Anolis sagrei: one gene and its partner. The protein of the gene in region 1 binds, or shares a complex with, the protein of each later gene. Links are inferred from orthologs where the notes say so. Each region holds a gene or a part of one and is shown in the gene's direction. Other genes may lie near its edges. The genes, in order: SYK and TYROBP.

The links.
Region 2: the proteins of SYK (region 1) and TYROBP are in contact, whole or in part, in a crystal structure (PDB 7Q5W), measured with the Homo sapiens proteins. The link is inferred for Anolis sagrei from reciprocal best matches to the Homo sapiens genes SYK and TYROBP. Residues at the interface, in NP_001167638.1 of Homo sapiens: Arg22, Arg42, Asn46, His62, His63, Tyr64, Thr65, Ile76, Ala77, Gly78, Gly79, His92, Asp97, Gly98, Leu99, Arg175, Arg195, Arg197, Lys212, Leu214, His215, Tyr216, Arg217, Ile228, Pro229, Glu230, Gly231, Lys232, His243, Lys247; in NP_003323.1 of Homo sapiens: Pro90, Tyr91, Gln92, Glu93, Leu94, Gln95, Arg98, Ser99, Asp100, Val101, Tyr102, Ser103, Asp104, Leu105, Asn106.

What each region holds. Positions count from the first base shown.
Region 1 is NC_090022.1:235,003,003-235,019,711, forward strand, and holds the start of SYK (tyrosine-protein kinase SYK), read left to right. Parts: upstream 1-7,432; 5' UTR 7,433-7,533; intron 7,534-10,455; exon of another isoform or gene 10,456-10,854; intron 10,855-16,709. UniProt on the Homo sapiens protein: Non-receptor tyrosine kinase which mediates signal transduction downstream of a variety of transmembrane receptors including classical immunoreceptors like the B-cell receptor (BCR).
Region 2 is NC_090034.1:88,840,016-88,856,779, reverse strand, and holds the start of TYROBP (TYRO protein tyrosine kinase-binding protein), read left to right. Parts: upstream 1-8,864; 5' UTR 8,865-9,027; coding exon 9,028-9,088; intron 9,089-16,764. UniProt on the Homo sapiens protein: Adapter protein which non-covalently associates with activating receptors found on the surface of a variety of immune cells to mediate signaling and cell activation following ligand binding by the receptors.

The sequences.
Region 1 (16,709 bases):
ATGGTTCCTTCATGGGTAAGCCTAGCAAGGCAGCAACGCTGGATGGCAAATACTAAGGCCCCGGGGTCTCTACCACAGCTAAACATAATATATGGTGTGTGCCTTCAAGTTGTTGCTGACTTATGGAGACCCTAAGATGAAACTATCATGGTTTTTTCTTGGCAAGATTTGCTCAGAGAGGATTTGCCTTGACCTGCCTCTAAAGCTGATAGAGTGTGAATTGTCCAAGGTTGTTCAGTGGGTTTCTGTGACTGAGCAGGGACTTGAATCCTGATCTCAAAAGTCATAGTTCAACACACAAACTGCTACACCATGCTGGCTCTCTACATTAAAATAGACTGCTAAAATAAGGCAAAACCCAAAATCACATTATGTCAATGCATTTATTGAGTGTTTGTGTGCCTTCATAAAGATGGTGTGGGGGGGGGGGGGATTGCTGCAATAAACCAAAATTGACTCATGACTGTCAGAAACATTGCCTCCAATTGTAATATGGGCACCAATGCCTCTGTTCTGGAAAAAAGACATTGGACCAGAGCAATTTCCACTCAATGAACACTACTTTGGGCTGGTCAATTCTGGTTTATGTGCCTTCAAGTCACCTGTTGACTGAGGGCAGCCCTCGGGATGTTTTTAAGCAAAGAATACCAAAAGGTGCAACATACATTATGCAAGCTATCCAAAATATAATCAGAGATGGATGCTAAACATTATTTTAAGGGAACAAATATGTCAAATTCAGGTCACAAAGTATCTTCTTGAGATCTCAAAGCCAAGTTTATGATGGTGATGGAAGGTGGTTACATGCAAGTAAAGGTCACATCCTCCACCATAGTTGTTGGTCATCAGGCATTTGGGTTGCAAAAGAAAGGCAAAGGAACAAGTTTATTTTCTCTATTGTTGGAAACAAAGTCCATTCCTTTGAGAGCTAGCCCATGTATGTCCTGTGTAAACCTACAAGCCATTTCGTACTCAGAATATACTGAGTATACAGCTTCTCGATGTACTTTCTGTTATAGGTATTTTCTTTGTTGTTGTGTAAATGGAAATATATGAATCTCCTGAGACATAAAAGCAGGAAAAGTTTAGTACATTCTTTTTTTTTTCAACCAGGCTCATACAAAAGAGTGGGAGCTCTCATAAAAGAATGCTGCACTTGGTGCTAGGAATTGCCAGCCTGAGTTCCTTCAGTGTCCATCGTAACTTCTCAGCTTTTTTACTATTGTAAAAGGGGAGAGGGAAAATGAAAGAAGCTGTATGACATCATAAGCAATTGGACCAGTCATCATCAAGATCTCAGGACACTGTAGGCAACTTGACCAATTCAGATCTCTTAAGGCTCCTATTATACCTATTGGCTGTGGATCTTGTGAGATCTGGTAGATTATTTTAAAAGAAAGAGTATTCCATAGATCCTTTATATAAACTGTATGGGGCTGTCTGGTGCACCCTCCTCACAGCAGCAAGGAAAAGGAATAGCCACGGAACCTGATATGAACTGCAAGTATTGAACCATACAAGTCTCTTGGGATGTTGTTGATGATGGTGGTGATGATGATGTAATATATCCTGGAATTAAACCCTTCACCCATTGTCCAGGTAAAGATACAATATTGTTTCTGGTGCCTGAATTTGCCAGTGAATAGCATGGAGAATAAATGTTGTCTAGTTGGCTTTTTAAAGCAATCCCTGAGGACTACAGCAACAAATACAGCAGCCATCAGCAACATTTGCTCCATCTGGAAGAATCCACTAATAAGTTTAAAACCCATATCAAATCTGCTGACATTTGAGGGAAGGGAAAAAAAATCAATTATTGAGTTTATGTTTAATTGGCATTTAAATTTAAGTTAAATACCTGCACTGAAAGCCTCATTTGGATTAAGTGGCAAAATGCCATGCATGCTTTCAGTCCTCTTCCATCAGTTCATCCCATCCCTACTTTACCTTTGGAGAAAAAGAAACAGCTAAATGGACTTTTAGAAGCTCCATTTCTTATTTAAGCCAGTATAGAGTACTTCAATTTTGAACCAACTCTGTTTCTTCTCTTCCCACTTTTACCTTTGGTTTGCTTTAGTTGCTGCAAACTGAAGCTGAATTTACACTTTCCTATAATGTAGCTTGGAACTGCATTATATGGTCAGTGTAGACACCTAGGCAAATGCAAAGTATTATAGCTTCTGGAAAGCTGCAGGAAGCTAGAGCTTAAAAACTTGGCTTAAGAATACATTGGATAAGACTGTTGTGCAGGGAGATTCAAAGCAGTAGAAGGGAAAATAATGAAAATGGCATTGGAAAATATTTTAATATCACTTTTGACATTGCTTTCTTCCTCCATATTGCAAGGTTGTTGAGAATTATTCATATCTTTTATATTCTAAGACACAAAGCAAAAGATAATGCAAATAAATAAAGTGGGGCCTCATGCCATGACTTCTCTAAAACAAATGTAAGAGTTCTATTATTAACTGTACTTGTAAATAGTCAACTGTATCTTTTAGAATTGCGAGTACAATAGTATACAAAACTTGAAAAAACTAGCAACTGTTCACTAGTAACAGGTGTTTGTGAGAAAGATACAATAAGAAACAGTGGCCAGAGTGCCAAGAGACTTACATTTTGGCTTTAGCTGGAATGTGCATGCAATGTTTACCATATTTTTTTATTGATAGCCCCTTCTTCTCCCACACACATACCCCAACATCAATGCCTGCAACCACACAGACACTTTTATGCTCAGAGCAAGGAAGATGCAAGCCCACAGCAGGGCCATTTTTTCGCATGTGGTTACGTTAGCTGGACACTTTGCAGACTTGCAGTTTCCTTTCTCATCAGGCCCTTAAGCACTACAAGGTCTGATTACAATCAATGTAATTTTCCTTATTAACTTGGTGTTTTCTCTAGCATGTCAGTTACCTCTCTTAACTTGTTTCTATACATACATTATTGGACAGATAAGAAAATGAAAAGATTCTACATAGGCAAGCACAACTGTACCTATTGAATTTCATCTAGAATGTTGTTTTTGACGTGGAATGTCACATAAATATAGTTTATATTTCATATTCTTAACTGATAACCCATCAGTTTTAGGATGATATTATCAGACAGCCCTATGAAAGAAAGTCAGGCCAAACAGCTTTAGGATATTATACGATGTTTGTCTAACCAAATTATAAATGTGCCGTTCAAAGGAGCTTCCCCTGGGATTTAAATAGGCTGCCTTAGGGTATAGTTTCAAAGGCCTATGAATGCCCATTGAGCTTACTCCTTCTTACCTGGTTATTTACTCTATCTCATTGCCTACTTTACATTGATGTAGTCTGGTTATAAAATTATTTATGTGATTAGTTCATCTTTAAATTAGGTTTTACAATGCTAAGCTTTTTAGCTATGCACATTATTATTACTTACTTACTTTATTATTACTAAACGTTGTGAAAGCTGTTAGGACAAGGTCTTCCCCCAAAGAATTGGTAGAGCTACAATAGTCAGAATATAAAGTCTTATTATTAGTCTCCTCTGCAGGTTTATTTATTTTATTATTTATTTACTGTATTTATATCTGATCTGGCCACGGTCGTCAACACTCTGGTTACATCCCGAATAGTTTACTGCAACACACTCTACGTGAAGTTGCCTTTGAAGACTGTTCGGAAATTTCAACTAGTCCAACGGGTGGCAATCAGATTGCTCACTGGAGCACCATACAGGGAGCACATCACCCCCCTGCTATGTCAACTCCACTGGCTGCCGGTCCATTTCTGAGCACAATTTAAAATGCTGGTCTTCGCCTATAAAGCCCTATACGGCTCCGGCCCAGCTTACTTGTCCGAACATATCTCCCTCTATGTTCTGCCTCGTAGTTTAAGATCCACCGGCCTCGCAAACATGTCTGGTGGGGACAAGAGCCTTCTCTGTGGTGACCCCCTGCTTGTGGAATTTGCTCCCCAGCGAGATTATTGCAAATTTTCCATCTTCACTTATCTCACTGCACTATTGGCCAAAGGCTTGGCCCCTGAGCCATGTTTTTACTTGCTTTCTGAGGGAGGGAGGGTGCTGACCTGATTTCGCTGAGGAGGGAGTTCCATAGCCGAGGAGCCAACACAGAGAAGCCCTGTCTCTTGTCCCCACCAATTGCACCTGTGAAGGAGGTGGGACTGAGAGCAGGGCCTCCCCAGACAATCTTAATCTCAGGATGGTTCATAGAGGGAGATACGTTTGGACAGATAAGCTGGGTCAGAACATTTAGGGCTTTATAGGTTAAAGTCAACACTGTGAATTGTGCTCAGCAGCAAACTGGCAGCCAGTGGAGCTGACGTAGCAAGGGGGTTGTATGCTCCCTGTACACCACTTCAGTGAGAAATCTGGCTGCCACCCATTGGACCACTTGAAGCTTCTGAACAGTCTTTAAAAGCAACCATACATAGAGTGTATTACAGTAGCCTATTTGGGAGGTAACAATTTTTGACTTCTGCAATATCAGTTACTAGCAGTTAATCACAGTCTGAAATATTACACCACAAAAAGATGTTCTGAAGGTTTCTATTACTTAATAATAATAAGGGCGGCTTACATGGGGGCAAGCCCGAAACAAACATAGTTAAAATATAACACACTAAAATATAAAAACAACATAAAACAGAATAAAATAACATTATAGCAGCAACATTATAACAGCTATAAGAGCAATGATCAAACCAACAACCAATTAACCTACAATAATAAACAATTTTGCAGTGCTAAAATTTATTACAGCATATTATTTTAGTTATTCTATTTTATTATAGGTTATTGCTGTTATTATTGTTACCATGCCTATTTGTTAATTTAAATGTTATCATAGATATCCATATATTGGAATAAATATAGCATATATGGGGTTCAGCACTATTCACTTTTTCAGGTATCCACTAAATCTCTTGGATAAGTGGGAACTACTGTATGTGGAATTCCAAAACTTAGAGAGGGGCCAAACATTCAGAGATGTATAGCTCACAGTAGTATCATCTCAGTTTAGCTTCAGACAAAAAATTTTTTATAGAAATAAAGAAAGTGGTTCTACTGTATCTGCTTCCTATGACTATCTTCAATAGGAATCAAACAGTTGCATTCTGAATCAGGAAACACTTCCTAACCATTTTCAGCAACATGTACAGAACTTAGTAGCAGTCGGACTGAGAACTTTTTAAAAATTAAAGCGGTCTGTTATTAAAGGATAAAGTGTGGATATAATAAAGAAAATTAAATATATATTTGCAGGTAATAACCCCTTTGAGAGCCAGTGTATTGTAGTGTAGCAGTTTGAGTGACTCCAGAGATAAGGGTTGATTTCTTGTTTGGCCATAGAAATCCCCTGGGTGACTTCGGGTAGGTCACCCATTCTCAGCCCCAAAATGCCCTGTAATAGGGTCACTTTGGGTCACCACAAGTCAGGTAAGTCAGATATCTGCCTTATCTGCCTGCTCAAAAAATAAGGTCTGGGAAGGGGCCCCCCTTTTTGTCCCCCAGAAGGTCCACTTAGCAGGACCAGCTGGCAGTTCCCCTGTATATATTTAGTATACCATGGTAGTGCATTGTTTAATTTTAATTTACTGCTCATGGCTCAAAACAGCACATATATCAGCTCATCTATCTCAGAACAGTTTACATGGTGAATTATAACATTTTGAAATAATTAATGTGTCATTACATTACATTATTGAGACATATTTTCCATGAGAACTAACATTTGACTTTACGATGGCCTCTGACATCTTCAATGGCATGAGGGGCCTTAGGAGCTGGGTTCGGTCAGAGCCTGACTATCCCTGGCCCAATAGAAAAAAATCTGCCACACCGAGAGCAAATGCCAGGCAGAGCCATTATCATGGGAGGTGATGTTTAGTAAGGAACCAACACGATTTGGCAGAGAAAGCTAAAGGCTTGTAAAACTGCAACTTCCATGATTCCATGGCATTGAGCCATGATTGTTAAAATGATGTCAAACTGCATTAACAGTACAGTGAAAGAGCACTCCAAGAACCTACATAATCCTTTGCGATTTATGAGCATCCCTGTGCAAACAACTTGCCATGTTGTTTCTTTAGTGCGGAAGGTTTACAAGAGACTGAAAATCAATGCATTTGTTTTCTTTCATACTCTGAGATGGTAGGACTCAACCCAAAAAAGGGTACGTCTTCTTGACTATAATTTCAGTAGTCCCTCCATGTTTGCAGTTTTGAGTATTTTATTATTCATGAATTTGATAAAAATGTTCTCTTTTGAAACCTCTAGGTCCTCCATGGTGACTCTGTGGTCAACTTCCTTCAGTCATGCTGGAAAAGCTAGAAAAACGTAGAATGGCGCTATCCCAGGTTTAAAAAAAAATCTTTATTAGTATTTTTTCACTTTCATGGGATGCCCCTAACCCCATTGAATGTGGAGGAATGGTTCTAATCTTGTCGCATTGGAAAGACCGCAACATTTTAGATCAAGCATGGGCAAACTACTGCCCGAGGTCCATATGTGGCCCCCTGGGTGCTTACATCAGGCCCTCCTCATTTTCCCTGTCCTCTTCACATAAGGACATGGTGGTCCACTGCGTCATTCTGCCAAAAAGATGGGGAAGAAGGCACATAGCAGCTAAGAGTCCTCTGGAGTGCTCTCAGTCACTGTGTGTCTCACCCTCCTCCCGACATAAGAGCAGTGCAAGTGTTCTTATGCCAGGAGGACATCTTGAGGAAGGCACACGGTGGCTGAGAGCCTTCCAGAGTACACTCAGCCACTGCCTGTCCCACCCTCTTTCCCAGCACAATGCCAAGAGGACAGAGGATGAGGAGGAGGATCATTTCGGTCATTTGGTGTTCCATCTGTCTCCCAGACTAAGGATGGGATGAACAGCCCTGGGAGGACAACCTGAAGATGACCCAGGCACTGCCCTGCTCCCTTCTGGCCCTGCCCTTTCCCAGGCTCTTCCCATTTAGCATGTATCTGGCCCCTCCCTCCTGACCCGGTCCTCCTAGCCGGGCCCAAAATGCATCCCCAAGGCAAAAAAGTTTGCCCATGGCTGTTTTAGACAGTAGATTGTGATGGTGGATGAAATTCAAATGTCAAAAACTGTAATATTGTGTGGTCACTAGAGTATATCACCTAAGTTGCTCATGCTAAAAGGGCGAGGTTGGGTTAGGTATAGTAACGGGAAACATCTGTTTGTGGGTTGCCAATGAAATCTGTGCATTAGAGAGAGAAAAGGAAAAGAATGTTTGAAGAACCCTATAGGAAATACATTCTACACATGAATGATTTGTGTGTACAATGTTAAATTGCCGAAACCTGAATAGTATTTTAAGCTGTGGAAACAATTATTTACATTACAGACATAGCGAAATATAAAGATATGCATTTGGTTTCTCAGTCTCTCTGTGTCCCAAAGACTTTCTTCCCTGTATATCTCTCCTCCTTTTCTAGTCACTCTTACACAACATCAAAGGAAGAAACCGATCTAACCTGCTGGATGGGAGTTCTACATATTGAGAAACATGGAAATGACAGGTATGTAGATCTTACACAACCCACTCTTCATTTTCTTCCACACACCCCTTTCATAGGAGTGGCTGGGAATGCCCTGATACTCTGGGAATTCACTGTAGTTGACACAGAGATTCCAGACATATCAATATAATGTTATTCATTTCAGTTAGCGAACATCTACTAATTAACAAGGACAAAGATAAGCATTTAGTTAAGGAGGAATTAATAACTGAATCAGATTCCTTTTCCAGTTCTTTTTCTAAATAAATAAATAAAAGAAACAGCATCAACAGCACAGACAATGCCTTCCTGCAACCTTTTATAATAATATGGAAAAATAAATATTTCACCATATTTCATCTCTTATATCTGTTATCATACACCATGTATTCTTGCACGAAGATGTCACAAATGTGAAGATTGTATAGATTGTTAGGTTCTACCTTCCCCCCACAAAATAATTGCATATCTAAACAGAAAATAATAGAAAATTATCCAAAGATTATGAGAGTACAGAATTAGAGCTTACCTTTTCTAGGAAATGTGGGAATGGTGAAAAAGGCCAACCTACCACTCACTATCATTGTACATCATGTCTAGCTAACTGGACATCTGGAAAACAGTGTCCAATTCGATAAGCTGGAATGTGTCCAGAAGATCAAAATTCTGGAGAACAAGCCCTATGAGGAGTAGCTTAAAGACCTGGGTATGTTTAGCCTGCAGAAGACAAGTCTGAAAGGAGACATGATGAGGACCATGTATAAATATGTGAGGGGAAGTCATAGGGAGGAGGGGCAGGCTTGTTTTCTGTTTCCCTGGAGACTAGGATGCAGAACAATGGCTTCAAACTACAGCAGTGGTTCTTAACCTGTGGGCCATAAGGACGAAAATCTGGTCTGTGAGCCTCCTTCCTCTGTACTTATTTATTTATTTCCACTTTTTTTGCGCTGCCTGCCATTCCTTCCCTATTGCCAATCATGGCATATGTTCTGTATCAGAATCACAGAATCATAGAGATGGAAGAGACCTCATGGACCATCCAGTCCAACCCCCTGCCTAGAAGCAGGAATATTGCATTCAAAGCACCCCTGACAGATGGCCATCCAGCCTCTGTTTAAAAGCTTCCAAAGAAGGAGTCTCCACCACACACAGGAAAGGAGATTCCACCTGAACATGAGGAAGTACTTCCTAACTGTGAGAGCTGTTCAGCAGTGGAACTCTCTGCCCCAGAGTTGTGGTGGAGGATTCTTCTTTGGAGGCTTTTACACAGAGGCTGGATGTCTATTTGTTACTTACTTAGGCAATCCCTTGTTGTCCGAGTAAGATTGTCTTCCAAGATCAGTGGTGGGTACATAGATGGTGGTGGGTACATAAATGACTGTAGAGTCCTATTCTTGACCTGTATGTTCTACTGCAGTGAGGGCATTGGTTTGCAGGTTGAAGATGGTCCCGGTCGGGGTTGGCTTGATGCACCTTCCTCTTGGCACATTTCTCTCTTTCGTCCTCCATTCGTACCTTTTCAAATTCTGCAGCACTGCTGGTCACAGCTGACCTCCAGCTGGAGCACCCAAGGGCCAGGGCTTCCCAGTTCTCAGTGTCTATGCCAGAGTTTTTAAGGTTGGCTTTGAGCCCATCTTTAAATCTCTTTTCTTGTCCAACATTCCATTTTCCATTCTTGAGTTTGGAGTAGAGCAATTGCTTTGGGAGATGGTGGTCGGGAAGGTGTGGGAAAGTGCAATATGAGGGAAACAGTGTAGGTGAAACAACAGGACTGGAATATATGGTCACTCTCCAAAGGCACATCGGAAAAGCCAAGTCTTTAGATCTTTCTTAAAGGCTGCTAGAGTGGGGGCTTACCTAATCTCACCAGGTATCGAGTTTGAGTTCCATAGCCGAGTGGCCACAGCGGAGAAGGCTCTCTCCCTCGTTCCCCCAAGCCATGGCTGTGATAGAGGAAGAGGTGAGAGGAGGGCCTCCCTCGAGAATCGGAGGGAACGTGCAGGTTGTGGAAGGAGATGCGGTCACGAAGGCAGGCAGGTCCCAAACCGTTAGGGCTTTATAGGTGATAACCTGCACCTTGAATTGGGACTGGAAAATGAACGGCAGCCTATAGAGCTCCTTAAACACAGGGGTTGACCACTCCCTGTAATTCGCCCTAGTTAGTCTGGCTGCTGAATGTTAGACCAATTGAAGTTTCCGGGCTGTCTGGTCCATAGCCAGGATATCGGGTTTTTTTGGGGGGGGGGATAGGGGGGGGTTCGGGGGGCTGAGTTTCGGGGGGGGGGGCTGAGTCTGAGTGAAAGAGGGTCTACCCTAGAAAACCTTTTGTATCATTACCCCAATACCCCCATGCATATGGGATATATTGAGTATGGTGATCAGATCATGATATGAATAAACATAACAGTTTAAATAATGCACCAGTAAGGCCTTTTCGCAAACCACCATGAGAATTTGGGGGGGGGGGGCTGAAACCCCTCAAGCCCCCCCCCCCTCCCCCTGGCTACTGCCTGATTGCAGTAGTCCAGTCTAGAGGTAACTAAGGTGGGGACCACCATGGTTAGCGCCTTGGTATCTCTACGGATGCCCCGGATCTCAAACACTCTCTGCTTCATTTGGAAACATGCTGTACTTGCAGAGCTCAGGTGGTGTTGTATTTCAGTGTCTATGTTGACTTGTGTGGAGAGGTGGCTGCCAAGGTAGTGGAAATGGTCAACATTTTCTAATGTTAAACCATCAAGCTGTATTTCTGGCCTTGCAGAAGGATTGGGTGGTGACTGTCCATCTGTTGGGGGTGCTCTGAATCGATTGTGCTTTTCCTGCATAGCAGGAGATTGGACTGGATGGCCCATGTAGTATCTATGATTCTACCCTTGGGGTTGTCCCTGTGAGCCCCCAGAAAACTGAGGAAGGTGCAGACCCGAGAGGCCTTCCCTTTCTCGCCTCTCCTCCTTCCCCCTTTTGAAAGGCTCCGAAGCAGAGGAAGCCAGGCAGAGAGAGAGAGGCTCGCCTTGCCCGACGAGGAAGTGCTGCTGCCTCTCAGCTGAAACCCCAACGCGCTGAGGAAATCGCTGGAGAGAAAATGAGGAAGCGAGCGCTTCACTCATCCTGAACGGCCTTTGGGGCCGAGGCGGGGGGCAGCGAGTGTGGGGCAGGCAGCCCAGGGCCAGAAGACGGGTCTTGTCGGGCTCCTGAGCTGGATCTGGGAAGGACAGACACAGGAGAAACTTGGAGCCGTGGCTGGCGCTCTCTTCTCGCAAGGCGGACGGAGGAGGAAAAGAGAGAGAGAGAGAGAGACTCTCCCTTGGCTTCCTTGAGCTTCCCCTCTCCCTTTCCCACCAGGTAAGAAGAGCCCAAGGGGACCAATTAGGGAAACTGGGGCTGAGCGGGCAGAGGAGGGAAAAGGCTTTCCTTGACTGTGTGGTCGCCAAAGTGGGGAACTTTAGGGTCACCCCAAGGCACGCCTATACTATAAGCTCGGTTGGAAATGTCACGAAAGAGACGAAAGGACGGGGCTGCGTAGAAGGGAAGTGTTTGTTGCGTTGCCCTTGACGTGTGTCTACAGTCTGACTAGAGTTGCGCCTTCACCAGAAACCAGGCATGGGCCAACTTCGGCCCTTCAGGGGTTTGGACTACAACTCCCACAATTCCTAACAGCCGGTAGGCTGTTAGGAATTGTGGGAGTTGTAGTCCAAAACCCCTGGAGGGCCGAAGTTGGCCCATGCCTGGTGTAATGGTTTCTTGTCTGACAACGAGTGTTAGTGCCCCACCCAACTAGAAAACTTAGAATCCTAAAGCCTTGGCGGTTAAAGTGGGCTCAAGCCGCGTTAATTCGGCAATGTAGACAGAGTCAGGTGCGTTTCTATACTATGAACTGTTTCAACGCTTTGTTGTTGCTAAGGAAGAATCATAGAAGGTGTTGAAGTTAAGATGGAAGTTTGTAGTTTAGTGGGGTGTGTGGTTTAGTGAGGCTGTTAAAGTCTCCTCCCTAAACTAAAAACCTCATAATTCTGTAAGACTCTGGCACAAACCAGTAAAGGTGGTCCCAGTGGTGATTGGCACACTGGGTGCAGTGCCTACAGACCTTGACCTGCACTTAAAACAATCTGCGCTGACAAAATTATCAACCATCAGCTGATAAAGGCCATCCTACTCAGATCTGCATGTATTATTCACTCCCATGTATTATTAGAATATTAAAGTGCAATAACAGATATGGAATATGTGCAATTACTATTGGAATGGCCCTGGACTACAATTATGGATGGCATTTTTTAAAAAATATTAAATGCAATGTTTTTAAAATATTTATTATATAGTAATCTTTAATTACATGCTAATATTAATGTTTATTAGAATTATATGTTGCTCTAAGGCAGAGGTCCTCAAACTTTTTAAACAGAGGGCCAGGTCACAGTCCCTTAAACTGTTGGAGGGCCAGATTATAATTTGAAAAAAAATGAATAAATTCCTATGCACACTGGACATTCCATAGATATATAAACCCCATTTTCCTAGTTTCCAATAGACCTCACAACCTTTGAGGATGCCTGCCATAGATGCAGGCAAAACGTCAGGAGAGAATGCCACACAGAATGCCACACAGAACATGGCCACACAGCCCGAAAAACCTACAACAACCCTGCACATATCTCATTTGTAATGCAAAAAATACTTTAAAACAACACAATAATTAAAATGAAGAACAATTTTAACAAGTATAAACTTATTAGTATTTAAATGGAAAGTGTGGAGCTTCTTTTGGCTGATGAGATAGGATTGCTGTTGTTGTTGTTGTTGTGTTCTTTCAAATCGTTTCAGGCTTAGATTGACCCTTGAGCGAGGGCCGAGTAAATTACCTTGGAGGGCCGTATCCGGCTCCTGGGCCTTAGTTTGAGTACCCCTGCTCTAAGGGATTGAATAATTGACTATATGTAAGCCACCTTGAGTCCCCTTCAGGGTTATAAATAGACATAATAATAATAATAATAATAATAATAATACCACCTAACTGTCTGGGTTGATTCCCAACCTCAAAAAATGCTCCAGGCTCCCCGTTCCTCAGAGGTTTCCAAGGACATAACACTGACGCAAGGCCTGCCAAAATTGTCCAACCCTAAAGTTTCCTATGAGTCCTTTCAAGTGAAAATATTATGGGGTTTTCTTGGCAAGATTTGTTCAGAATGGCTTTTTTCTTGCCTTCCCTTTGAGGATGAGAAAGGCCCCTTCCACACAGCATTATAAAATCAACACTGAACTGGATTATATGACAGTGTGGACTCAGATAATCCAGTTCAAAGCAGACATTATGGAACATCTGCCTTGATATTCTGGGTTATATGGCTGTGCGAAAGGGCCCAGAGTGTGACTTCCCTATACAGCAGGTTTCAGTGGCTGAGTGGGAATTTGAACTCTGGTTTCCAGTGTCATACCCCAGCGCTCAAAGAGATACATACACTTTGCTTTAAATTCTAGGGAAGTTAAATTTGCCCGTAAATTAGAGTTTCACAATATAGCGAGCAAAAGATTTAACTTCCCTATAACTTAAAGCTAGTTGTTACATTGTTGTTGTTTTAAATAATGTTGATGCAGGAGGTGGGCATAAAAAGCTTTTAAAACTGTGTTAAATTGTTTAAATCATGTAAACAGGTGTCTTGCAGACTCAGTTCAGTTATGCAGAGTGTAAAGCTGTGTTTCCTAACCTGCAGGTCAAGACCCCTAGAAGGGTCGCGAGAGGATGTCAATTGAGTATTTGTGCTAAGTTTGGTCCAGATCCATTCACAGTGCTCTCTGGATTTGGGTGAACTGCAACTCCAAAACTCAAGGTCAATGCCTACAAAACCCTTCCAGTATTTTCTGTTGGTCATGGGAGTTCTGTATGCCGAGTTTGGTTCAATTCCATCTTTAGTGGAGTTCAGAATGCTCTTTGATTGTAGGTTAACTATAAATACCAGCAACTACAACTCCCAAATGACAAAATCAACCCCCCCCCCCAACCCCCACTAGTATTCAAATCTAAGTGTATTCGTTATCTGTGCCAAATTTGGTGCAGTGAATGAAAATACATCCTGCATATCAGATATTTGCATTATGATTCATAACAGTAGCCAGATTAAAGTTATGAAGTAGCAACAAAAATAATTTTATGGTTGGGGGTCACCACAAAATGAGGAACTGCATTAATGGGTCGTGGCATTAGGAAGGTTGACAAACACTGGTGTAAAGGGGTTTCAGGCTTCATTCTTTAGACAAATTGTGGTTGAAGCATCAACTATTGTTTTTAGATCTGTTTACGCTTAGTTGAACTACTTTACCACATCCAGGTATATACAGTGTTATAGTAAATGTAGTCCTGCTGATTTCCATATGGTTAATCTAAGTTATATCCATATGCTGTAATCAGATATACATTTAAATCTGAGTGCCATTATTATAATTATTATTATTATTACTATTACTAATACCAACATTGATAATACCAACATTTGTGCCAAGTTTGGTCCAGATCCATCATTGTTTCACAATGCTCTCTGGATGTAGGTGAACTACAACTCAAAACTCAAAGTCCATGCCCACCAAACCCTTCCAGTATTTTCTTTTGGTCATGGGAATTTTCCTGGAGTGATATTCTGATCTGTGAAAACACAAAAGGATAATATTAACAGGATTTGCTTTCACAGAGTGTAGCTAATGGTCTTCATTTCAAATTAGCAGTTCCTGTGTTTAGGATGCTATAACTCAATGAGTTGTTTACATTTTTAAAGTTATGTTATAGAATTAAAAAATCTTACTGCACAAATAGTACAATATATCAAGTACTGTTTTCATTAATTTTGTGTAGTTTAAAATAAAACTACAGACAGTGTTTTAACTCATAAACTTTAAAATTAAGTATACATTTTTACCATATATTACTTGTATTTTCTCAAATCTAATGTGCACCTCAGTTTTCAAAACCCTGAAACAAAAAAAAAAAGTATTTGCTGGTGAATGCAATGCACAGTGGCAAAAAGTGCACTCTATGTAATTTAGCCAAAAAAGGTGCACATTACAGTGGCTGCATGCTTGGAATTCCTACTTTTGAAATTATTTATTTCCTATATTTTCCCCCACTCTTCTCATCCTGAAGGGGATTCAAAGCAGCTTACAGTTTAGCCACTTCAGTGGCACATTGCGAATACATAGTGTATAAAATATATCACATTAAACAAATAACAAATAACATATAAATACAATAAAACTATTAAAAAACTGTTTAAACCATATTGCTAAATCCATCATCATCCTTCATGCTGCAGCATTCATATCAATACTGTATTACATTATTCCCAAATGCCTGGTCCCAAAGCCAGGTCTCAACTCTTTTTCTAAAACACAGGAATAGGGGAGTCAATCTAATGTCATTGGGGAAGGAGAAACAAACATGTTAGAATAGCAAAGCTTTCAGCAATGGAAAAGAAAATCTTGGGGTGCATCTATGCTATAGAATGAATCCACTTTAACCACCCTGGCTCAATGCAGTAGGTTTGTGGAACCTGGGATTAGTTTGGGATTATGGGAGCTGCCAAAAAGTGCTGATGCCTCACCAAACTACAAATCCCAGCATTGCATAGCATTGAACCATGGCAATTAAATTCAAGATGGTGTCCCTGAAATAGGAGCTCCAGGTGCTCCTGAAGTAGCTTCCCCTTTTGCTTTGACTCAGATTACCATATTACGTGAATCTACTGCACGTCCTAATTTTGGGAAGGTAATGTAGCCCAAAAAAGGTGAGCATTAGATTCAAGTAAATACAGTGTGTGTGTGTGTGTGTGTGTGTGTGTGTGTGTGTATGTATGTATGTGTGTGTGTATATATATAGAGAGAGAGATTTACACAACTTATTTCAGGCATGTGTTTATATCGTTGGATTGTGGTTTCAATTGTAACACAACCAAAGTACTGCATATAGGTAAAAAGTGTCTAATTGCTGGAAGATTTCTACTGTGGGAAGGCTTGGTTTAACCAAAGTTCCCTTCAGGCGTGCTACTTATTCCATTTGCTGCTGCATTGCAGATTCCTCTTTGTTAATAAAGTAGTGGCCATTTTATTATTATTTTTATTTATTTAGAACATTTATATTCCGCCCTTCTCACCCCGCAGGGGACTCAGGGCAGAGCACAACAAATATACGGCAAATATTCACATCTGGGACATAAAACCATACATATATACAAACATTAAAATCACTTATATTCAGATTAAAAGTTGCTTAAAACCCATCTCTATATCATTATTCTGTAGTTATAATACAAAAGATTACATATGGTGAGGCAAACTCTATAATCAAATATAAATAATAAACTTGAACCAAATGTTAGGCCAATAAAACAATGAGAATGCTAAAGAAGTGATTTGAAGATGAACATTATATAGATGGTCCTTATGTCATTTTTATCTGGTCGTATTGCATGAAAGCTTAATGTATCTCCTTATGTAGTCAGTGACAAAATTGTAGTGACAGCTACATTAATATGGGCGAAACTGGAAGTCTTTTTCTTCTTGCAAAAACATTTTTCTGAACATGGACTAATGAAAAGTGCACGTACCAGAGCTTCAGAGGGTTCAGCCCATCCGTATGCCACCACTCCTTGCCAGCCACAAATTTCCCAGCGAGCATCTGACAGTCATGTTGTTTCTGCCAATGTCAAAATGGGGTGCATAAGCAATCAGTGATGATGGGATATAGCATCCCCTTCTGCTTGCTGGTCATGCAGGTGCAGCGCTGACCACAACAACCAGGTGTTCTGGCCGGCAAAGAGTGACAGTAACAACACAGAGATGAGTCATCCCCTTCCCCTGCATTGATCAGTACAGAGAAAGATTGATGGTTGTTCTGTCCATCTTGACAGTGGATCAAGCCAAACATTCTTGCTTTCCAGGTATCCCCAAAGCCCCAGGATACGCTGGAGTTTCTTGCATAATTCAGAGTATCCCTCGGCATTGCCTGAAGTTGCACTAATGGCAAAAAAACCCCAAAAAAAAACAGGATGCTCACTGGAAGTAGTCATGTTTCATTTCAGCTACATATCTTTTGTGGGTTTAGGCAAGCCTTTTGTCTTCGATTACTTTTATTCTGCCTTATATGCTTTAGTACTTTAAGTCATATTGTGAAGAAATTTGTGGGGATGAATTTGTGGCTGTATACTAGGTCTAAT
Region 2 (16,764 bases), on another chromosome or scaffold:
GTCTGAACATATCTCTTCCTATGAACCGCCTGGCGGGGATGAGGGACAGAGCCTTCTCGGTGGTAGCCCCTCGGCTGTGGAATGCCCTACCTGTAGACATCAGACAGGCCCCTTCACTGTTGGCGTTCCGGAGGAAGGTGAAGACCTGGCTCTTCGAACAAGCGTTTGGCTAAACAGTGCAATTGATTATAGGAATACGGTGCAATTGAACACAGGAACATGGAACAAGGATTATGAGAATGGTTCTGATTTGGTGCTGAGGCGTTATGATAATGATTGTTTATTGATATTGACTGTTATGTATAATGTGTTTTAATTGCCTATGATACTGTTTTGTGATAATTTGTACTATGTAAACCGCTTTGAGTCGCCTACGGGCTGAGAAAAGGGGTATAGAAATAAAGTAAATAAATAAATAAATAAATAAATAAATAAGATTGTCTGGGGAGGCCCTGCTCTCGATGCCACCTATCTTGCAAGTGCGTTTGGCAGAGAAAGACAGGGCTTTCTCAGTGGTGGCCCCCCGGCTATGGAACTCCCTCCCCAGGGATATTAGATCAGCCCCCTCCCTCCTGACTTTCCGAAAAAAAGTAAAGACCTGGCTCTTTGAGCAAGTGTTTGAGAATGCAGCGGAATAGATAACACGGAACTATGAATGATGAACATGGAATGGCCAGACGATGTTACTGGATAACATCTTTAACAAGATGACACTGATGATTATATACTTTAACAGTTTTTATTTGTGTTTTATATTGTAATGTTGATTGTTTTAATTGCACTTTTATGAATGCCTGACATCACATTGTGCCAATCTGTAACCCGCCTTGAGTCGCCATATAGCTGAGAAAGGTGGGCTATAAATATCATAAATAAATAAATAAATAAATAAATAAATAGAGCATAGGTTGTGCATTTGGCTCACTTCAGCTGGCTCTCGTATTGTCTAATGCCTGGATCTGGACAAATGTCACTCTTCAGATGTAAACTGTGGCCATTTTTGTCTCAATGGTTAGCTGTTTGGGTGCTAATTGAAGCAACAGCAGCAGCAGCAGCAACTTTATTTATATCCTGCTACCATCACCCAGAAAGGACTCAGGGTAGCTTACAGAAAAAACATACAAATGCTGTAACACATAAAAATAAAGGTAATATTACATCAACACATTAAACAATAACAACATCTATTAAGATAAAAGCAACACTTTAGAAAAAGTCCAATTTAAAAATCAATAAAACATAGTAAGGTAAAGATAAAGATTCCCCCTTGACATTAAGTCTAGCTATGTCTGACTATGGGGGGGGGGGGGACGGGGGGTGGTGGTGCTCCTCTCCATTTCTAAGCTGAAGAGCAAGTATTGTCCGTAGACACCTCCAAGGTCAAGCTCCAGCGCTGTTACCTTCCCACCAAGATGGTACCTATTGATCTACTCACATTTGTATGTTTTAGAACTGCTAGGTTAGCAGAAGCTGGAGATAGCAGCGGGAGCTCACCCTGTTCCCTGGTTCTGAACCACCAACCTTTTGGCCAGCAAGTTCAGCAGCTCAGCGGTTTAACCCTCTGCACACTGGGGCTCCAAAATACAGCACTAATTACCATTAAAATGAATAGTACAGCATCCCAGCCACAGCCCAATTCGGCCATTAAAGTGTTAATGTCAATATTAAATTGTTTGGTCCTTAGATTAGCAGATGTCTCAGTAAGCAAACACCCATTGCTGATGCTTTCCAATGCGAATACCAAACTCAGTTCTACAAGAGTGGATCAGAGCTCTGTGAGTGCAGCCTTTTTCCAAATGAAGCAGAGATATTTGAGGATCAGGACATCCATAGGGATACCAAGATGCTTGTTTATAAAGCTATTGTCCTCCCAACCCTGCTATACACCTGTGAAACGTGGACTGTCTACAGATGTCACACTCAACTCCTGGAACGATTCCATCAGTGTTGCCTCCGAAAAATCCTGCAAATCTCTTGGGAAGACAGAAGGACAAGTGTCAATGTGCTGGAAGAAGCAAAGACCATCAGCAATGACATGATGCTCCTGTGCCATCAACTTCGCAGAACTGGCCACATTGTCCGAATGCCTGATCACTGTCTCTCAAAGCAGATACTATACTCCCAACTCAAGAATGGGAAACAGAAAGTTGGTAAAGTGATTTAAAGATGGGCTTAAAGCTGTCTTTAAAAATTTTCTCAGTGACATAGATGCTGAGAAATGGGAAGCCCTGGCCCTTAAGCACTCTAATTGGAGGTCAGCTATGACCAGCAGTGCTGCAGAATTCAAAGAGGCATGAATAGAGGGCAAAAGGGGAAAATGTGCCAAGAGGAAGGTGCATCAAGCCAACCCTGACTGGGACCGCCTTCCATCTGGAAACTGATGTCCTCACTGTGGGAGAACATGCGGATCAAGAATAGGGCTCCACAGCCACCTATGGACCCTCTGCCAAGACACTACACTTGAAGGATCATCATCCTCAGGCTACAAGGGATTTCCTAAGTAAGTAAGTAGTAAGTAAGTCTACAAGAGTGGGTCAGACAATGCTCAGCTAAGCTCACTATAACAGCAGAAAAGTCCTTCATGATACCTGTTTGGACACATCTCAATATGCTGACAGAATTATAGCAGACAAGTAATTCCATGCAGCCCTCATTAAGGTGGCCCGTTGTCTGCTCTCATTTATTATCATGATCAAAAGTCCCCTTTCCTTGCTTGAAAGAACTGGCTTCCAGCTCTGAAACTGGTCTGCCCAGCTAATCAATCTCCCTTGCTGTTTCGCAAGAAAGAGGAAAGCAACCCCCTGCCTGCCACCACCAGCTGGAAAGTGTCATACAGCCATTCAGAATATGACTGTCTGTAAATTTTATCTCAGCATGAGTGCTTCAGACCTGACTATAATAAATGTTGGCTGACAATACTGTTAATCCATGTGTCTCTGGCCCTGTTCCTTGAGGTGCCAGAGTACAGTTGATTCTTGACTAGCAAATTTTAGCATTCCCTAAATGTTGTTCTTGCCCAATGAGCCAAAAGAAGAACAGCAAAGATAATTTCTGTGCTGTAATCAAAGTGCTTCATCTTCATTGTTAAAGCCTGCCCATGTGGCAAAAACAAAAATGGGTAGGCTCCGCAATGAGCCATTTCTTATTGTTTTGCAAAGATTCTTTTCCCTCTGTCTCCCCACTTTATATCACTTGTTTCCTTAATTCTTTCCTGAATACCCGTTCCTTAGTCTATTTGTAATATATATATTTTAAAAAATACAAATATGGTCCTCCTTTTTAGAGGCTATCCACACCAGGAAAGCTTTAGCTAGACAGGGGGAGTGTGTCCCTGTTGGTTCTGCTGGACCTCTCAGCGGCCTTCGATACCGTCGACCACGGTATCCTTCTGGGACGCCTCGCGGGAATGGGCCTTGGAGGAACTGTTCTGCAGTGGCTCCGGACCTTCCTAGAGGATCGTACCCAGAAGGTGTTGCTGGGGGACAACTGCTCGACCTCACAACCATTGTCTTGTGGGGTCCCGCAGGGTTCTATACTGTCCCCCATGTTGTTTAACATCTACATGAAGCCGCTGGGGGAGATCATCCGGAGTTTCGGGGTGCGGTGTTATCTGTACGCAGATGATGTCCAACTCTGTCACTCCTTCCCACCTACTACTAAGGAGGCTGTTCAGGTCCTGAACTGGTGCTTGGCCGCTGTATCGGACTAGATGAGGGCTAACAAATTGAAACTGAATCCAGACAAGACAGAGGCACTCCTGGTCAGTCAAAAGGCCAAACAGGGCATAGGGTTACAGCCTGTGTTAGATGGGGTTACACTCCCCCTGAAGACGCAGGTTCGCAGCTTGGGTGTGATCCTGGATTCATCGCTGAGCCTGAAACCCCAGGTTTCGGCGGTGACCAGGGGAGCATTTGCACAACTAAAACTTGTGCGCCAGTTGCGCCCGTACCTTGGGAAGTCTGACTTTGCCACGGTAGTCCACGCTCTGGTTACATCCCGCATAGATTACTGCAACGCGCTCTACGTGGGGTTGCCTTTGAAGACGGCCCGGAAGCTTCAAATGGTCCAGCGTGCAGCAGCCAAGTTGCTAACAGGAGCGGCGCTCAGGGAGCACACAACTCCTCTGCTGCGCCAGCTCCACTGGCTGCCAGTTTGCTACCGGGCCCAATTCAAAGTGCTGGCTTTAGCCTATAAAGCCCTAAACGGTTCTGGCCTAGCCTACCTATCCGAACGCATCTCTTCCTACGAACCCTCCAGGAAGTTAAGATCATCTGAGGAGGCCCTGCTCTCGATCCCGTCTGCTTCGCAAGCACGCTTGGCGGGGACGAGAGACAGGGCCTTCTCTGTGGTGGCCCCTCGGCTGTGGAACTCCCTGCCTAGGGATATTAAATCAGCCCCCTCCCTCCTGACCTTTCGTAAGAGAGTGAAAACCTGGCTCTTCGAGCAGGCATTCGGAACCCCGGAATAGTCAAGCTTGAGATGGAGAATGACCCAGGAACGGCCAAGACGATGAAACGGATGAGGATTGGATTGAGAGGATATAGCTCTTTTTAAATTGTTATTGCACTGTCTTTTTTGTCTAAATGCACTTAATTGTTTTTGCTGTTGTATTGATGGCATCGAATTGTGCCAAAATGTAGACCACCCTGAGTCGCCTGCGGGCTGATATGGGCGGGATATAAGTGATGTAAATAAAATAAATAAATTATATATATATGCTCTGTGCATAGTGAGTGACATCATAGCTCAAAAACCGCTGGACCAATTGCCACCAAATTTGGCCACAAGACACCTACTACCCCAAGGACTGACCATCACTCAAAAAAATTGGTTTTGTCATTTGGGAGTTGTAGTTGCTGGGATTTATAGTTAACCTACAATCAAAGAGCATTCTGAACTCCACTGATGATGGAATTGAACCAAACTTGGCACACAGAACTCCCATGATCAACAGAAACCACTAGAATTGTTTGGTGGACATTGACCTTGAGTTTTGGAGTTGTAGTTCACCTTCATCCAGAGGGCACTGTGGACTCAAACAATGAAGGATCTAGACCAAACTTGGCACAAATACTCCATATGCTGAAATATGATGGAGTATGGGGGAACTAGACCTTGACATTTGGGAGTTGTAGTTACTGGGAGTTATAGTTCACCCACAATCAAAGAGCATTCTGAACCCGACCAACGAGAGAATTGGGCCAAACCTTCCATACAGAACCGCCATGACCAACAGAAAATACTGTGTTTTCTGGTGGACTTTGGTGACCCTTCTGACACCCTCTCGTGACCACCCCCCAGGGGTCCCGACCCCCAGGTTGAGAAATGCTGCCTTAAGGCCATCCAATACAACTCCCTTCATCGGAGCAAGAAAACATAATCAAAGCCCTCCTGAGAAAGAGCCATCCAGCCATAGATATAGATAAATAGATAGGATTCACACACGCACACATATATTCCAGAAATAGTATCATAGGTTTCAAAGGAACCTCTAAAAAAGGACAATGATATGTTGCATGTTCCAGAGTAGGCAAACCAGACAATCTCTACATCAACACTGATGAGAAATACTGTTTACCCACAAGCATAAAGAAATTACATATATTAGAAACCAACACTATTTTCCAGATCACCAGACTGGACCACAGCAACGTGTGGCAGGGGTCAGCTAGTAAAGCTTATAAAGCTATTGTCTTCCCAACCCTGCTATACGCCTGTGAAACATGGCCTGTCTACAGACGTCAGATGCAACTCCTGGAACGATTCCATCAGTGTTGCCTCTGAAAAATCCTGTAAATCTCTTGGAGAGGTAGGCAGACAAATGTCAGCAGGCTGGAAGAAGCAAAGACCACCAGAACTGAAGTGATACTCCTACATCATTAACTCCGCTGGACTGGGCACGTTGTCTGAATTCCCAATCACTGTTTCCAAAAGCAGTTACTATACTCCCAACTCAAAACGGAAAACGCAATGTTGGTAGACAAGAAAAGAGATTTAAAGATGGATTTAAAGCCAAGCTTAAAAACTGTGGCATAGACATCAAGAACTGGGAAGCCCTGGCCCTTGAGCTATTGTCTTCCCAACCCTGCTATACGCCTGTGAAACATGGACTGTCTACAGACGTCAGACGCAACTCCTGGAATGATTCCATCAGTGTTGCCTCCGAAAAATCCTGTAAATCTCTCGGGAAGACAGGCAGACAAATGTCAGCATGCTGGAAGAAGCAAAGACCACCAGTAATGAAGTGATGCTCCTACGCCATCAACTCCACTGGACTGGCCACATTGTCCAAATGCCCAATCACCATCTTCCAAAACAGTTACAGTACTCCCAACTCAAAAATGGAAAATGTAATGTTGGGGGACAGGAAAAGAGATTTAAAGATGGACTTAAAGCCAACATTAAAAACTGTGGCATATACACCTAGCCCTTGAGCCCTCAGCTGTGGAATTCCCTCCCTAGGGATATTAGATCACCCCCTCCCTCCTGACTTAAAAAAAAGTAAAAAACTTGGCTCTTCGAACAAGCTTTTGAAAATGCAGCATAATGGATGAACATGAAACTATGAAGAATGAACTTGGAATGACCCAATGATGTTACTAGACGATGAGTTTAACAGGACGACTCTGGTGATTTTATGTTTTTAATGGGTTTTATATGGTTTTCATAGTGCTGTGTTGAATGTTTTTAATTGTATCTTTTATAAATGTTTGGCATTGGATTGTTAGCCATCTGTAACCCTCCTTGAGTCGCATTAGGGCTGAGAAAGGCGGGCTAGAAATGCCGTAAATAAATAAATAAATAAGAGCTGTAACTCGAGGTCGGCTATGACCAGCAGTGCTGCAGAATTCAAAGAGGCACAAATGGAAGGTGAAAGGGAGAAATGTGCTAAGAGGAAGACAGGTCAAGCCAACCCTGACCAGGACCGCCTTCTACCAGGAAACCGATCCCCTCAGTGTGGAAGAACATGCGGGTCAAGAATTAGGCTACCTACCTATCCACCACCAAGACATTGCAATTGGAAGGCCATCATACTCGGACAATGAGGGATCACCTAAGAAAGAAGAAAGAAGAAAAGACACCAGGAAATAAATCAGTATTCTGCATTAAAAGCTGCCCTAAATTCACCCCGTTGGTACTTATAACGTACTAGCGGTCCCCTGCCACACGTTGCTGTGGCCCAGTCTGTTGATCTGGAAAATAAAGTAATGAGAAAGTGTTGGTTTCTAATATATGTAATTTCTTTGTGCTTGTGGGTAAACAGTATTTTTTGCTGTTTCTTTGTCAGTGTTGGTGTGGAAAGTGTCTGGTTTGCCTGCTCTGGAACATGCAACATATAATTGTCTTTCTTTAAGGGTCCCATTCAAATCTATGATACTGTATCTCTCTGTGTGAGAATAATATATATCTATCTATATCTATGGTCCTTTGTCCTTTGTCAGGACGGTCCTTTGTCAGGATGTCTTTGATTACATTTTCTTGCCCTGATGAAGGGAGTTGGATTGGATGGCCTTAAGTATTTTCTGTTGGACATGGGAGTACTGTATGGGAAGTTTACCCCGATTCTGTCATTCGTGGGGTTCAGAATGCTCTTTGATTGTAGGTGAACTGTGAATCCCAGTGACTACAACTCCCAAATGTCAAGGTCTATTTCCCCCAAACTCCATCTGTGTTCATATTTGGGCGTATTGAGTGCTTGTGCCAAGTTTGGCCCAGATACTCTCTGGATGTAAGTGAACTACAACTCCCAAACTCAAGGTCAATGCCCACCAAACCCTTCTAGTGTTGTCTGTTGGTCATGGGAGTTCTGTGTGCCAGGTTTGGTTCAATTCCATCCTTGATCGAGTTCAGAATGCTCTTTGATTGTAGGTGAACTATAAATCCCAGCAACTACAACACCCAAATGACAAAATAATATTTTTTGAGTGATGGTCACTCCTGGTGTTGTGAGGCGTTTTGTTGCAAAATTTGGTGTGATTTCGTTCATTGGTTCTTTTGTTTTTAAGGTACTCATTATGCACAGAGCATTTATATACATATATAGATTGTACTCAGATTGTATTGATAGTCATGTCTGAATTCAAATCAAATCAACTTTTTCCCTTCTCCTTGAATTTGTTGCTCCGTTCCCAGCCAAAACTAGCCAAAAGGTCAATAATGAGAAGGTTGATTGGGGCAATACCTCACCATTGAGATCACATGGTTGGATGTCTTGTTCTGATCAAAGCATTTGGATGCTGGACTTCAGAGCAAGCAATTGGTAGGATTGTGCCAAAAGTGCATGAACAGGAAGGGAGGCTGGGAAGGCAGCAGTGGTGGCCCCAGGGAGAATGAAATCTTGAGTACTATGGAGACAAAACATCAACACTAAGGAGCCTGATCAGTCCACTCACTACTGATCTCAGGCTTAGCTCAGCTGGGAAACAGGTAGCACCCCAAAGAAAGAGAGGAAAATGTTTTGTTTGGTTCAGAGCCTCAGTCATTGTCTTCCCACCTAACTACATTTTTTCCCATTCATAGTACTTCTGGTTCCTTCCAACTCTATGATTCAGCATTACAAATATGGTTATATATGCAGAGATTCGGCCACTGATGTTAACAGTCAAACACTCACAGATTAATGAGCCTGTCAATTTTGCTTTCTTCCATATTTGCCTTACTAAAAGAAAATAGTTTTTTTGTGTGGAAACACAAACCAGACAAAATGATCATCGATTACTAGGGTGGTGTAATGGACGAACTATTATTAGGAGCCTTTTATGCCTTTTATTTCTGAATCTGGACTCACTTCCGCTGGGGAAGTACGACACTGGCCACCATCTGATCTTACCCCATGACATCTCCCTTCCTCTTTTTGAGGTTTCCTGCCCAGAGCTATTTCTATTTCTTCAGTCTTGTTCTTCAGCAGGATACTATTCCTGTCTCACAGGTCCAGGATTCCCAGACTTTTGGAAGCACAACATCAGGTCTTCCTTAACCAGAGACATTTTGAGTATTGGCTCTAAACCTGGTTTGAGAGCCTTTGTGATGGACCAACTAAGAATCCCAATCCTCTATATTCTCCTGGACTTGGTTTGGGCACAGCTGGGTGAGTTGAATCAAACACTTCTTCCTCAATCTTTGGTCTCCTTTTTCAATTTTGGATTTTTCCCTAAGCCCCCATCACTTCCCTATATCTAAGATTGGCCATTGAATAGCTATTTCTTTGTGTTTTGTCTTGAATAGTTATATTTGCCTATTTGTGTTTTTAAGCATTGGAATTGAATGTTTCGAAATTAAAAATTAGGGAACAATGGGTAGCGTGGGAAGGTAGGAGTTAACAAAAGTGTGAGGAAGTATGATCATGGGACCATGAATTAGAAAATTAAACATCAGTCATTGAAATATAAATCATAGGCCATAATAGAAAACCATGTATTAAGCAAGCTCTATGCAAAAACAGTTTAGGTTGAACCTTCTGATATTTCAGATTGTTGCTGTGAAGAGTAGAAAGTAGTAGTTTATTTATTTTATTTCCTATACTTCTACCCCATCCTTCTCACCCCCCGGGGAGGGACGGACACTCAGGGCGACCTCACAACAAGCATCATAAGATGCATTACCATCATAAAACAATCAAAAAACACATTCAGCCAATACATTAAAAACAAAACAATTAATGGAAAACAATTGATTAAACATGCCAGTTAGAAACCAAATCCAAGTCTGGCCAATTCATTGTCATGGGTTGCCTAGGTTGACTTTCCATTTGCTGCTAATCACTAGTTGAATGCCTGGTCCCATAGCCAAGTCTTAAGTTTATTTCTGAAAGACAGGAGGGAGGTGGCCAGTCTGATGTCTCTAAGGAGAGAGTTCCACAGATGGGGGGCCACTGCTGAGAAGGCCCTTTCCCTCATCCCCACCAATTGCGTTTGCAAGGGTGGTGGGACCAAGAGCAGGGCCTCTCCAGATGATCTTAAACTTTGCGATGGTTCGTAACAGGAGATACGTTCAGACAGGTAGGTTGGGCAGAACCGTAATGGGCTTTAAAGGTTAAAACCAGCACTTTGAATTGTGCTCGGGAGCTAATCGGCAGCCAGTGGAGCTGGCGTTACAGAGGGGTTGTATGTTCCCTGTACACTGCTCCGGTGAGCAACCTGGCTGCCGACAGTTGGACTAATTGAAGCTTCTGGGCAGTCTTCAGAGGTAGTCCCACGTAGAGATGATGATATGTTACATTACCAGACTATTTTGGTAATATCACCATGTTACCATTATCAGAATATTTTAGTAACATATAACCATTACCAACAACAACAACATTGTTGTAATGGTTAATTTGCTTTTTCATAGCATTGCTGACTCTGCTTCTAATTTTTTCCTTCATTCAGAATATTTTTCCATTACCATAGTTTTCCGTTACCATGGCTTTACCTCATTTTGGCCTTATGGTCAACCTCTACTCCTTTGGCCTTATTTTGGATTTTTGGTCAACCTGTAATCTTTCTTTTTAGATCCTGTGTTTGCTCCCAATAGGCTTTGGGTAGCCAATGATGGAAAGGAAAAACCATTTTCTGAAAACCTGTAGGCTCCTTGGTGCCCATTGTAGCAAGCAACAATTGTATCTGCTCTGCGTAGTTGTACCAGTACGATTCTGCTCTCAACCTCTCCTGCAAAATCTTAGGTTTTGTAATTTTGTGAGGTATTTAGGACCTCTCTTCCAGTGCTCTAGTCCGTTAACTCAAACCACAGAACTAGACATCTCTGACAGAGAATTACACCTTTGTGGACCAAATGATCAACTGCCATCTAAACCATGATGAGACATCATGGAGGGGTCTCCTTTCACAGTCACTGTCTCTCCACTCCTTAGTAGCATGAATCGGGTTCAACTGGGGATCTAAAAAAGTCTAATTTGAGTGAAATGGACATGTTATGAAACTGCGGGGTTCTAGATGCATTTTTCTACAAGACCTAATATCCTGTTCCTTCTTCCCTGCTCCATATCTCCAAACATTGAGAGTCCCGCTAGAACAGTGGTTCTCAACCTGTGGGTCCCCAGGGTTTTGGCTTAGAACTCCCAGAAATCCCAGCCGGTTTACCAGATGTTAGGAGTTGAAGGCCAAAATATCTGGGAACCCACAGGTTGAGAACCACTGTGCTAGACTCAGTCCACTAAATGATGGTTGGGAATTGTACAGCCTTCCAACAGATGTTAGTAGACTATAACACAGCATTTATCAGTGTTGGCTATACTTCCTAAGGATGCTGGGAGAGTCAGCTTAACCACGCTTGAAGGCCAACATAACTCTCATTTTTGGACTAGATGAAATGATGTCACAAGCAGGAATGGATCAAAATCAAGCCATCTCAGATGTAGATGGCCTCCTTTGCCAGCTTTCCCTCTCCCTCCTTCCATTGTCTTTCATAGATTGGCTTTGGGACAGTGGTTGGAATCATGAAGGCATCAGAGATTGTGGGTCTACAGCTTCCACTAGCCATAATTAACTTAGCCAGTGGGAGTTGTAGTTTGACAAAATCTGGAAATATGATGACACCCCCTCTGTGCCAACAAAGTGGTGAATCCAGTCCTTGTTTTATTCAAAACATTATCAAAAGTGATTAACCTAAAGTAGAAACAGAGTTCAGCACTTCACGTTACTACTGTGGTCGTTTGGTTTAACCTAGCATAGATTCATCATCCCAATAATATGGTTGATATAATTCACCATGTTTTGGAGAGCTACACAATTCACACCTCAGCATTAAAAACTGAGATAGGTGGGAAGGATAACTGATCATCTATTTCCCAATTGAGATAGCAGGAAGGGGAATCCCTGCTTTTGTAGAAAGACATGAGACAAGCAAGGAAAAGCACCCTGGTATCAGAGAAGAGGTGTTGTGAAAAATCATCTTGGCTTTTCAACTATGAGTTGTAATCTTATGGTGTGTCAAAGTCTTTTCATTATCAACTAGGCTCAAAATCCAGGGTTTCCTTGAGCTACTGAGCAAAGAATGGGAAAATTATCTGCAAGGTCAGCCCAACACCAAGCTATAATCCTCAGCACCCACTCCCTCTTTTCTGATCTAGCCACCAGGATCTAGGCCTTGTAACTCCTATCACAAAAAACTATCTTTGCTTTTGAAGTGTGGGTTGTAATTGTGTAAAGTGGCTTTTCCATAATCAAATAAGCTCTAAATGCACGATTTACTTGAGATTACTTAAGAATGGGATGCCTTGGTTAGACCACACCTGGAATACTGTGTTCAGTTCTGGGCATCACAATTGAAGAGAGATGTTGATATGCTGGAATGTGTCCAGAGGAGGGCAACTAAAATGATCAAGTGTCTGGAGAACAAGCCCTTTGAGGAGAAGTTTAAAAAGCTGGGCATGTTTAACCTGCAGAAGAGAAGACTGAAAGGAGACATGATAGCCATGTATAAATATGTGAGGGGAAGTCATGGGGAGGAGGGAGCAAACTTGTTTTCTGCTGCCTGGGAGCCTGGATGCGGAGCAATGGCTTCAAACTGCAAGAAAGGAGATTCCACCTGAACATTAGGAAGAACTTCCTAACTATGAGAGTTGTTCAGCAGTGGAACTCTCTATCCCGAAGTGTGGTGGAGGCTCCTTCTATTGAGGCTTTTAAACAGAGGCTGGATGGCCATCTGTTGGGGGTGCTTTGAATGTGTTTGTCCTGCTTCTTGGCAGGACGTTGGACTGTATGGCCCACGAGGTATCTTCCGACTCTATGATTCTATGATTCTGTTATTATGTTTGGGTTCAACAAACATCAAATCATAATCTTGAGTGGCATGCTAGGGTTCCTAAACTTATTGGCAGCCTGTGGAGTGACTTTAGGATAGATGTGATATGTTCACTCCTGGATGTTCCCGTAACCAATCTAGCAACTGTATTTTGAACCAGCTGGAGTTTGGTTCAATGGTAGCCCAATGTAAAGCACATTGCAGAAGTCCAACCTTGAGGTTACCAATGCGTGTCCCACCATCTTTGGATCTTCCAAATCTAGGAAGGGGTGCAGCTGGTGGATCAGCTGAAGCTGGTAGTAAGCACTCCTGACCATTGCATCTCCCTGGGCTGACATTTGGAGGGACAGATCCAGGAATTCCCAAGCTGCGAACACAGTCTTTCAGGGGACTGTAACCCCATCCAGAACTGGTTGACACACCTCCATCCTCAGGTTAGGACCCTTGATGACAAGCATGTCTGTTTTGTCTGAATTCAGTTTCAGTTTGTTTTTCCACATCCAGCCCTCATCCAGGAATTCATTCAGATGAGACACACTATCCTTAGCTGAAGCTGTTTTTGAAAGCATGGAGAAATTTATGAGCCAGCCCTGAGATCTTAAGAGCCCTTTTCTCTCAGTCCCACCACAATCACAAGCACAATTGGGGAAAAACAAGAGACACCTTGTTGTCTCTTGGTTTTGAAAGCATGGAGAAATTTATGAGCCAGCCCTGAGATCTTAAGAGCCCCTTTCTCTCAGTCCCACCACAATCACAAGCACAATTGGGGAAAAACAAGAGACACCTTGGGGTTTGCACCTGAAATTCCTTTTCCAAAGGAATCTGAATGCCCCCCACCTCCTCCTTATACTTCCAATTTCAGGCCAAAACCTATTTATTCAGATAGGCTTTTAAAACAGAAATGGACTGGGAATACTAAATACCTTTTAAATTATTATTTTAATTACATGGGGAAATGACCAGGGTGGTAGACTTCTTGGTACTGGACAATTACAGACCAGTCTCTAACTTCCCATTTTAGGCAAGATTCTGGAGTGAGTGGTGGCTTCACACCTCCAAGAGTTCCTAGATGAAACAGATTACCTAGATCCATTTCTTTCAGGCTTGGTTGTGGAACAGAGACAGCTTTGGTCACTATGGTGGATGACCAATGCAGAGAACTAAACAGGGGAGTGTGTCTCTGTTGGTTCTCCTGGACCTTTCAGCAGCTTTTGATAGCATCAACCATGGTATCCTTCTGAGTCACCTTTCTGGGATGGGGCTTGGTATTGTTCTTCAGTGGCTCCGTTCCTTCCTGGAGGGAAGTTCTCAGAAGGTGGTGCTGGGGGACTTCTGTTCGACTCATTGGCCCCTGGCTTATGGGGCCCCTCAGGGCTCTGTGCTGCCCCCCATGCTGTTCAACAAGTACATGAAACTGCTGGAATAGGTCATCCAGAGTTTTTGAGTGCAGTGCCATCAATACGCAGATGACACCCAACTCTATCACTCTTTCCCACCTAATTCTAAGGAAGAGGGTCCTGTGCTTACCGATGCCTGGCAGCTGTAACGGACTGGATGAGAGCAAACAAACTGAAGCATAATCTAGACAAGACAGAGGTACTCCTGGTCAGTTGTAAGGCAGATCTGGGAGTAGGGAGTCGGCCTTTGTTAAATAGGGTTACACTCCCTGAAAATGCAGGTTTGCAGTTTGGGAGTACTCCTGGATTTGGCTCTAAACCTGGAGGCCCAAATATCAGCAGTGACTAGGAGTGCTGATACCTGTTAAAGCTAGTGCGCCAACTGCGCCCATTCCTCGAGAAGTCAGATATGGCCATGGTGGTACATGCCTTGGTTACATACCAGTTGGACTACTGTAATGCACTCTATGTGGGGGGCCCCTTTGAAATGTGCTCAGAAACTTCAGTTGGTCCAGAGAGCAGCAGCCAGACTGCTAACTGGGCCTGGCTACAGGAAGCATACAACTCCTCTGTTGCAACATCTCCACTGACTGCTAACATGTTTCCGAGCACAATTCAAAGTGCTCGTAAACATGTTTTGACCTACAAAGCCCAATATGGCTTCGGTTCAGGTTATCTGAGGGACCGCATCTCTTTCTATGAACCTGGGAGACATCTACGATGATGATAATAATAATAATAATAATAATAATAATAATAATAATAATAATAACTTTATTTTTATATCCCATTACCATCTCCCCAAAGGGACTCAGGGAAGCTTACAAGCGGGACCAAGCCCAGCAACAACAGAGTTAATCAAATAAAAATACATTTAAAAATTGTTATAAAAACATATAAAGATTGTTATTTTTTATAATATTCTAATTAAACAATTAAAAACAGTAGAGTATTTAAAAAATCATTAAAATGAATCAAAGCAAACCTCAATAACCAGAGCCAATCAAGAATTAGAGAGGGCTGGGCATGGGCCTGTACAAAAAGTAAATTATAGGGCCAGGACCAGAGGCGGCCCTAGGTAATTTTCAATGGTAAGCAAACAGTATTTTGGTGCCCCGCCCCAAACAGTCATTGATATATATTTTCTGTTTGTCATGGGAGTTCTGTGTGCCATATTTGGTTCAATTCCATCATTGGTGGAGTCCAGAATGCTCTTTGATTTTAGATGAACTATACATCCCAGTGACTACAACTCGCATATGTCAAGGTCTATTTCCCCCCAAGAGCGCCTCAAGAGCGCCCCTGGGCAAAATCAACTATACTGTGAATGCTTACTTTGCGTAATGGGTTGAGCCGCCCCTGGCCAGGACTGGAAATAAAGTGCTGAATTTAGTCTAATGGTCAATTCATGGAAAGAGATCCAACCATTGTCAAATGCACATTGGAACGTCCATGTTTTGAGGTCCCTGCAGAAAATAGACAGAGTGGGTGCTAGCCTAATCTCCCTGAGGAGGGTGTTCCAGAGCCAGGGGGCCACCACTGAGAAGCTCCCCCTCTCTTGTCCTCGTCCCCCCCAACCATGCTTGTGACAGTGGTGGGAGTGAGACAAGGCCCTTCCCGGCAGATCTTAGGATCCGCACCGGTTCATAGGGGAAAATGCAGTCACAAAGTACAATCTACTGGAGAGGGCCTTCTCTCAGTCCCACCACCTGCTCAAGCATATTTCATGGGAACACAGGAGAGAAACTTTTCGGTGGCTGCTCCCAGACTGTGGAACTCCTTCCCAAGAGAGACCAGAATGGCCCCTTCCCTGCTGGCCTTCCACAAACAAGTCAACAGGCATTTTTGGAAGGATAAGGAGCCGGGGCCCCCGGTGGCGCAGTGGATTAAAGCACTGAGCTGCTGAGCTTGTTGATCGAAAGGTCGCAGGTTCAATTCCGGGGAGCGGCGTGAGCTTCCGCTGTCAGCCCTAGCTTCTGCCAACCTAGCAGTTCGAAAACATGCAAATGTGAGTAGATCAATAGGTACCACTCCGGCGGGAAGGTAACGGCGCTCCATGCAGTCATGCCGGCCACATGACCTTGGAGGTGTCTACGGAAAACTCTGGCTCTTCGGCTTAGAAATGGAGATGAGCACCACAACCCAGAGTCAGACATGACTGGACTTAATGTCAGGGGACTACCTTTACCTTTAAGGAGCCGGCTCCAGGGAGGTTGGGTGGGATTGGGGGGGGGGATATGAGTTTTAAAGACCAATTTATTATGTTTACTGCATTTTAATTCTGTTTTACCACACTGTTACTATTTAATTGTTTTTAAATTTTTATTTTGCATTTTTAAAACTTGTCTAATGTGGATTATTAGCCACCTTGAGTCCCCATGGAGGTTTCTTCTTATTATTATTATTATTATTATTATTAGTGAATTTTAATTGAATTATTTTGATCCTATTTCAATATTAAGTTTTGGCAATATTTTTCATTATGTTGCTTACTAAATTGTTAGCAATTTCTGTCCCGTGGAAAAACTGGAACATCATAATCGTTACCATCATCATATAAGCCCTGCTAGGCATTGACTGACCAAACCTAGGGGCAAAAAATCCCGAGACTTCAGAAGAAGTC